Tribolium castaneum: one gene and its partner. The protein of the gene in region 1 purifies or fractionates together with the protein of each later gene. This does not show direct contact. Links are inferred from orthologs where the notes say so. Each region holds a gene or a part of one and is shown on either strand. Other genes may lie near its edges.

What was found.
Region 2: the proteins of Ube4A (region 1) and UBX domain-containing protein 4 purify together in Homo sapiens (affinity purification with mass spectrometry; 3 studies listed by BioGRID and IntAct, counting the BioPlex papers as one, with this or other methods). This does not show direct contact. The link is inferred for Tribolium castaneum from reciprocal best matches to the Homo sapiens genes UBE4A and UBXN4.

The regions. Positions count from the first base shown.
Region 1 is NC_087394.1:12,121,677-12,125,602, forward strand, and holds the start of Ube4A (ubiquitin conjugation factor E4 A), read left to right. Parts: upstream 1-929; 5' UTR 930-1,056; coding exon 1,057-1,624; intron 1,625-1,673; coding exon 1,674-1,954; intron 1,955-2,010; coding exon 2,011-2,346; intron 2,347-2,394; coding exon 2,395-2,595; intron 2,596-3,926.
Region 2 is NC_087396.1:24,044,225-24,048,150, forward strand, and holds UBX domain-containing protein 4, read left to right. Parts: upstream 1-1,119; 5' UTR 1,120-1,209; coding exon 1,210-1,291; intron 1,292-1,346; coding exon 1,347-1,481; intron 1,482-1,548; coding exon 1,549-1,898; intron 1,899-2,208; coding exon 2,209-2,888; intron 2,889-3,097; coding exon 3,098-3,233; 3' UTR 3,234-3,311; downstream 3,312-3,926. UniProt on the Homo sapiens protein: Involved in endoplasmic reticulum-associated protein degradation (ERAD). Acts as a platform to recruit both UBQLN1 and VCP to the ER during ERAD.

The DNA of each region.
Region 1 (3,926 bases):
CTTTTATTTGTGCAAACGAGCTGATGATGTGAAATTTTGGTGCGAAAATTAGTGGTAACGCCACAAATTGTGTTAGTTTTAAGTCTCCAGAAAATTCGGTTTTAAAAGTAGGGTTATGTTATCAACTGGAAATGCAAAATTTTCACATTTATAGATTTTGTGTCCGTTTCTGCTTCTTTAAACCGTTATTAGTTATTATTGAATATGTTTAAGGGCAGACAAATTTACCTTGAGTTAACGACATAAACTTCAGTGAGATTTATTGAAATGTATATAGGGCAAAAATGAACTTCTTGTATAAAACATTTTTATGAAAAAGGGCGTGTTAACGTGTGTTAAGTTTACCAAGTAATAAAACATAAAGTACAACAACTTTTCTATAAAAGCATTTTGCAAAATTCTTATTCATTATTTTTACTATTTTCCTCCTTTCCTGTAATAACTGATTCGCCCTTCGGGGGCCATTCTGAATACTGTAATGAATTTTTAAAAATAAAGTTTGCGAAATCGGGAAATTTTAAAGAATGTCTAAAAATTCATTAAGGTTCCAAGGGGTGTTTGTCCGAACATGATTTTTTACAGTCGAAGGCCCTATCGAAGTGCTTAATCTCCTGCAAAAATAAAGAAAGTTGCAGGATATAAAGGGGGTGAAAAAAAAAACAGTTTGCATTGCCTGAATATGAGAATAAAAAATGCAGAAATTAAATACAGTTAAGTTGTTTCAATTTGTAAGAGAAACACATTAGAATGGTCAGGAGATGTTTTACAAATGTGATATGCAAATCAGAGTAACAGCTTATTGATGTTTTTATAATAATTTACGATTATTTTTATAATTTTCCTGGTGTGAACTTGGCTGTAGAAAACGTGAATGGTGGGGAAATTGTCTGGTCGACTGTAATGTTCATGGTTGCTGTCTTCACCGACATTGGATTTTCAGGGTTTTCAAGTGTCACGAAATGTCAAACGTGGATGTGATCTGCAATTTTTTAACAACATAAAAAATGCGTTTTAAAAAATAACATTCATAGTAATTTCGCCGAATTGTGTGTCACGATGTCAGACTTCAACCCGTTCGCTGCCCTAATAGAAGAATCCACGAATAAATCGAACGATTCAACAAACACGAAACAAGGACATGTTAAAAACATCAGCAGCATCCTCGAAGAGATATTTGCATTTACTTTAGACCCGAAAGTTAGCGAGAAGAAACACTTCTTGTTGCTGGAGGAAGTTGCAAACACTTTCAGCCGGAATGATCTTGACCTCTTGATCCTCCAACATGCCCTATTTGATCGCCTGTTTATGTGTAACGAAGAGAATCCGTTCATAAAAACTGCCAAACAGAACTTCAGGAACACGCATTCGTTTGAATCGAACGTGCTCACTTATCTGTGCAATTGCTTCAGGAATTTGAGCGATGACACGAACCTTGAGAGTGGAGAAAAGGCCAAAGTTAAGTCGTTGATTATTCAAAACGCTGTAACGGCCCTCATACAGTCGGAAATCTACGAAGGCCAAAAACTAGAGCAGCAATTGATTGATATTCTTAAAGATAACACTGATAACGGTATGCTTTTTTTCAAAGATGTATGTAAGGGAGTTCTGGATGAGGAAGAAGGAGGTATCTTGAAGCAAATCACCAAAATTTTTTAGTTCACAAATTGTTTCAGGTGAGGCTTTTCTTAAGGATAAATTGGGGCAAATTTTACTGGTGTTAACCGATGACATAATTAAATCAAATATCGTCACTTTTGACTATGGAATTTTCAATGTTTTGAATGTTTTTACAACTGAGGAATATCTCGCCAGTATTTTTCTTGATGTAAAACCTGTAAAGTTTAGTGCTGGTTCAGACTATGCGAACACCCCGTTAGGGGCCATTTTCAACGTTTCAATCTTGCCCAAAACACCGAATGCGATTTATGAGCACTTCCAGGACCCTACTGATCAAGTATTAATTCATAAATAATTTTGATAATTATTTTACATTATACTGTAATGTTTAAGGCTAGCATCTTGTCGGCTGAAGGAATTCTCTGGAGCAACGTCGATAAACTAACCGAACACACGCACGCTTTTGTCCTAAGTTTACTAACTTGCAGTCCACAAATTAAAAATAAAACCCTGGAATGGCTAGGACTTTGTATCAAAGCTAACATTGATCGTGGAAAGTTATGGAGCGCCCAATCACCGCCTGAGTTAAATCTTGTCAATTATACAAGTGTGTCTGATGGTTTTATGATCAATTTTGGGAACGTAATGTTAAGGTTGTGCCGACCGTTTTGTAATAATTTCAAGGATAAAAAAATACTGAAAGTGGATCCGACCTACTGTTCTGTTCCTGTAAGTTGTTTAAATGGTTTGAAAATTGTTTTAATTGATTTGTTTAAGGATGATCAATGTTGTGAAAAGGGTGTCCATTTGCCTGGCATGAATACGGAAACATGTCTAATACCGAATGATTCAGATGATGAAGGAAAGTTGCTAACTGCTGAAAAGTATAATTTTGTAACAGAGTGTTTTTATTTTGCACATAAAGCTGTTAATTTGGGTTATCAAGTCACTGTGGATAAGTTGGTGCGCTTAAATCATGTGAGTAATTTTTTAAATTTATTATTATGTCTTAAATGTTTGATAAAAAACTAAACAAGGTTAAATGCATATTAAAAAAATGGAACTAGACATTATTTGAAATTGTTTTAAAATGTTTGATAATATGACAATAGACAAATTTTCTACTTGAAAATTTGGTCTTTTCTAATAGTTAATAACTAATTATTGTGGTTTAACTTTTTTGCAACTTTAAAGAAAGCTAGATTTAGATACGTGTCACCTGAGACAAAAGGATAAATTGCCCTTCAAATAATTTGTAGAATATTGACATTTCCATTAAAATATCTTTTTGTTAATGTCAAAACGATGTACTATTTATAATGTCAACAATGCACTCTTTTTCATTAATATTCTTTTTGTGATTTTGACGTTGAAAAGTTTATTTCCTAATGTGAAATTTTTGTGGTAACTTTTTTTTTAGAGAAATAAGTTTTATTTCTAAATTTATTTTATTCATAATTTCCTCACAGGTCAGTTTAATATCGCGTTTTAAATATTTGTTCCGGCCTTTAATGTTTTTATGAAAAATCGTTCAAATAGCATAAAAAATACAGTAGGTATCATATACAAACCGAATAAAATATCTCAAAAAATTGTCTTCTATTTATTTTATTTTTAAATGACACTTTTTCTATTTATACTACATACGAGTATATCCTGGACTTACTGCTAAAAGTGACCAAGTCAAAAATTAAGGGTCGGTTTACAGAAAGCAAAATTAAGATTTAATTCAAAATTAAACTAATTCAAATTAATTTGCCATAGTTTTTTTGCATTTTAAGCATTGACAAATGTTGAGTTATGCGCGACTAAAATTTAATTACAGTTAAAATGTTCTGTAAACCGGCTCTAAGTCTTTTTACAAATTAAGTTCATAATTAAATGCTTTTATAAAATCATTGTTGCTTTTCTGCAAATTTTTGTGGTGGGAAATTACAGGAGCAACACTGAAGTTATAGAAATCCGTCTATGTTTTACAGTTTTCCAAAAAATGTGGTCGTGTTAAACGTAAAACTTAAAAGGAAATATCTGACATGACCAAGTTTTAAAAATATAAGATTTATTTTCTCATTCGATTTGAACGTTAAATTATTTCATAGAGAAATAAAATAGATGGGCTTTTTAATCGTAGAAGCTCCGTTGCAATTGTTTAAAATGAGATATACGAACTGACCTGTGAGATAATGATTCAATTTAGGAACTATTTAATACCATTTAGAATTTTTGGCACTTTCGAGCAGAGGACTAAAAATTTAGTTTTTCGCAAAACTTTGCTAAACAAAAATCATTAAAGTGTGTTGAAAATTAAG
Region 2 (3,926 bases), on another chromosome or scaffold:
GTATTGTGAATGAAGCGGCACATTGAGTTTGAATTCCATAGTCGACTTGATGAACAACCATTTTTGAACACATTGTATATTAAATATTACAAATTATCTGGCCAGGATAGTTGTTTAATAGCACTTTTTAATTTGTTTTTTTTTCATTTTTAATTAACTTTAATGTAATTCCTACCACGAAGATTTTTTTGGCAAATTGTGCGAGTCTAAGCTGGAACATTGAAACATCTTGTTTTAAATTTTTATTGAACCTGTTATTGCATATAAAAAACTATAGTTTTCCTAGTTAATAAGTCATTTGTGACTCTATCGCTATTCAGTTAAATAATAATATCCCATATTTATTTGCTGCAATCTTGATTGCAATCTGTAATGGCCAGTATAAAAGTGCTAATTTTACCAACTTGAATATTTAAAAGCTACGGACGGGCTGTTCCGCTTATTTATTGTAAACCGCGATGAAACAAATTTATTGTTTAATAACCGTCGTCGTTCTAATCCCGGTAAGAAAATCGTTGTTTCGTTATTAATCTTAGTTAAAATTTATTGTTTTAGACACTCACTGCTCTTGAAAATGAAGGGCAAAATCCTGATACAGCAAATTGTGTTGCGCTAGGTGGACAAAGAATCAAAGATTCTGAAATAGCAAAAATGGCTCATTGCATTCTCACCAAAACGAATTTAATGACAGACAAAGGCACTTTTAATAGTAATCTTTTAAAGGAAAGGCTTAGACAATCTGTGCACAGTGACGAATTAGTGGATAAAGTCGTCATGATGTGCACCGTTGAGAAGGAAACACCACTGAAGAGTGCATTTTCGGGATACAAATGTCTGCGGTACCTTGTACCATGGTTTCCGTTAGACTAATAAAGAACAGTTTTCAATACCCGACCCAAAATAAAGTTTTAAGAGCATTTTGCCTGTTTATTTGCTATTTCGGCCACTTTAGAGGTGGTTTCAAAAATTTACGTTTTTCAAAATGACTAAAACTGGACTTTTTCCGTTATAGCACTGAACACCCCATAGATGTTTAGCTAATTAGCGCCACATTTTCTGTCCAAATCTGTTCGTAAAATTTAACTTTGGCGCGTTGCTTGTGACACCTAGCATATTCTATGCACCTAGCGCCACATGACAGTTGTCAATGTAACACGTCAGTTGTCACAAACACTCATTTTTTATTAAAAAAAAATAGTTTTAATCGAAATGAACTGGTTTAAAGGTGAAATCGCCCAAGCAATCGTCACTTCGAAAGCCAAACAGGCAATATTCGTAGTTTACGTTTACGGTAAGAAACGCAAACGTTATCTAACCTCTCCATGTCGTTTTTCGCCCGTTTTTAGGCAAAGACGATAAGTCAGCGCAAATAACCGAATTAATCGACAAGGAGGAAATCGTTAAAATATTAGGAAGCGATAGCTTTGTGGCAATCAAGATCGAAGCCGACTCTGTACCTTATCAGCAGTTTAGTCAAATTTGTATCCTTTTTTTGTAGTATCCAAGTTTTGTTGATACTTTTAATTGATTTGTCCCTAACTCAGTCAGATAAGCAAGTTCCAACCCCTTCGGTTTATTTTATTGGGAAGCAAGGAGTGCCTATTGAGATTGTGACTGAAGTAAATGATGTTAAAACTTTTCAAGAAAAACTCAACTCGATTCTGCAAAAAGGCGGACTTTCTCCGATTGCTTCACAATCACAAGATTTTATCACCAAAGAACAGGCGCAAAATGTTGTGTGCGAAAACGACGTTTGCACCATGAAAAAAGACGAAACGCCTTCAACCAGTCAGCAAGCTGTGGCAGGAAAAGAGGATTTAACAGTTGAAGAAAAGGTTGAAAGGGCCAAGCAGTTGGTTGAACTGAAGCGAGAAGAGAAAAGAAAGGAGGAGTTTGAGGTAATGTGTGGCTGAATTTAAGTTGGCAACATTTCATAAAACAAACGATGTTTTCATAACTCAGCTACGAAAACAACAATATTTTGGTTCTGTCTCATGTAAAATGATCCGGAGAATCGATTGGTGTCAAGAAAATCGCCAAATTCCCAGTAGTTTTTAAGTTATGAATTTTTCAAAATTTGACCAATTTTTGCTTTTATTTGCAATTTTCTCGAAAACTATTGATTGGTCTTAATTTGTCAAAATTGAAGTCCATTTGACACTTGTAACTTCAAAATCCTCAGTGAAATAATGGCGTAACATCTTGCAGAAAGAGCGCGAGAAGGAGCTTGAGCGTCGTAAAATGGGCCAAAACGTGCAACAGTTGAAACGTTGGCAGGAGGACCAAGAGCTGAAGCAAGTCCTTGAAGAACGTGAAAGAGAAAAGCGCGAAAGTCAGGCGGCTCGTGAACGAGTCTTGGCTCAAATCGCTCAAGACAAGGCTGAAAGAGCGGCAAAATTCTCTCCAACAGCCACAGTTCAACCACAAGCTCACTCATCGCAATCGCAGTCATCTCCAAGACCTGTCAACACAAACACAGCCAGATTGCAATTCCGAATGCCAGATGGCAGCACGGCAACGAACGATTTTTCGAGCAGTGACACGCTAGCAAGTGTCCATGCTCACATTAAAGCTAATTTGCATCTACCGTTTAGCAATTACACACTTTCCACAACTTTCCCTCGAAGAGAATTTACTGAAGCTGAGAATAGTCAAACGTTGTTGCAACTGGGGCTTGTTCCAACTGCTGTTATTTTGATCTTGCCGGTTAATAGGGGAGTCGTTGCTACTAACACAGAAGGAGGGTTTACAGGATTTTTGTGGACTTTGATTACCCCGATTTTGACTCTTTTGGGTTATTTGAAGACTTTTGTGTTTGGATCGGCTCCTGCGCCATCTACTAGCAACGATAATAAGCGAGCCGCTGAAGCGTCATCTAGTGATCACAGGTTTGTTATTCTTCTTAAGATTTATAACTGAAGTTAACAATTTTTACTATTCTTCAAGTTACTCATCAAGAAGGCTGTGGATGTCATACGTCAAAAAAACATGGCTTGCTGCCATTTTTTTTACTTATGTTATCCTGAGTTATATTTTTATTGCAATCTTAATCTAGGGCCTAAAAAAATCTGCCTGTACTATTGAGGAATTGTTTTAGGGGGCAACCAAAAGTTCGAAGGGGTGGCGAAACAACAGTGATTAGAAGGCAGGGGAATATTCATCGTTTGTCCAATAAAAACGATAGTGATGATGAGAATAATACCTGGAACGGTAATTCTACCCAGCAGATGTAAATTATCTTATTACTTACTTGGAATATTTTTCACTAGTTATGTACTTCTTGATGTAAATAAAATACTTAGAATTTTTTATTGCTTGTTTTATTTTCTCATAACACATTAACAATATTTTACATAAGTGTACTCGTACCTATTCAGGAGGCAAAGATTTTCCTTTTGCCAACAGAGTAACTCCTAAGAAACTGTTTCATAAACTCCTGGTATTACTCTGTCTTTAAATGTTCCACACCACCTTTAAAAAAATGAGAAAAATGCAACCGAAAAAACCTCCCCGCAGTCTGCACATGTCGTGTGTATTGTTGGTTGCAGCCCTAGCGCCAGTTTCTAGCAGTGAATAAATTAATTTACTTCGCAATTAAATGCTCAGATTTTTTTACATTGGGTTACGCTAATCATTGTCCAGTTAAGACTTAAATTAAATTACCATCAAGCGAATGATAAAAACTGGATAACGATTCTAGTTATAGTTTCGTTTAAAGAGAAGCTTAATTAATTTTTTTAATAAAAATTATTTTGAGTCTAAAATTTTTGAGTGTGTGAAAAAAATAATTATATTAATTTTTACCAATTTTTTAAAAATTTTGAAGGACAATAAGTGACAAAACTCATAAACTACAAGTCGCACGGATTTTTTTTAAACCGCCAAATTTTTTGATTGGCTTTGATTAGGTATAGTTTTTGAATTTA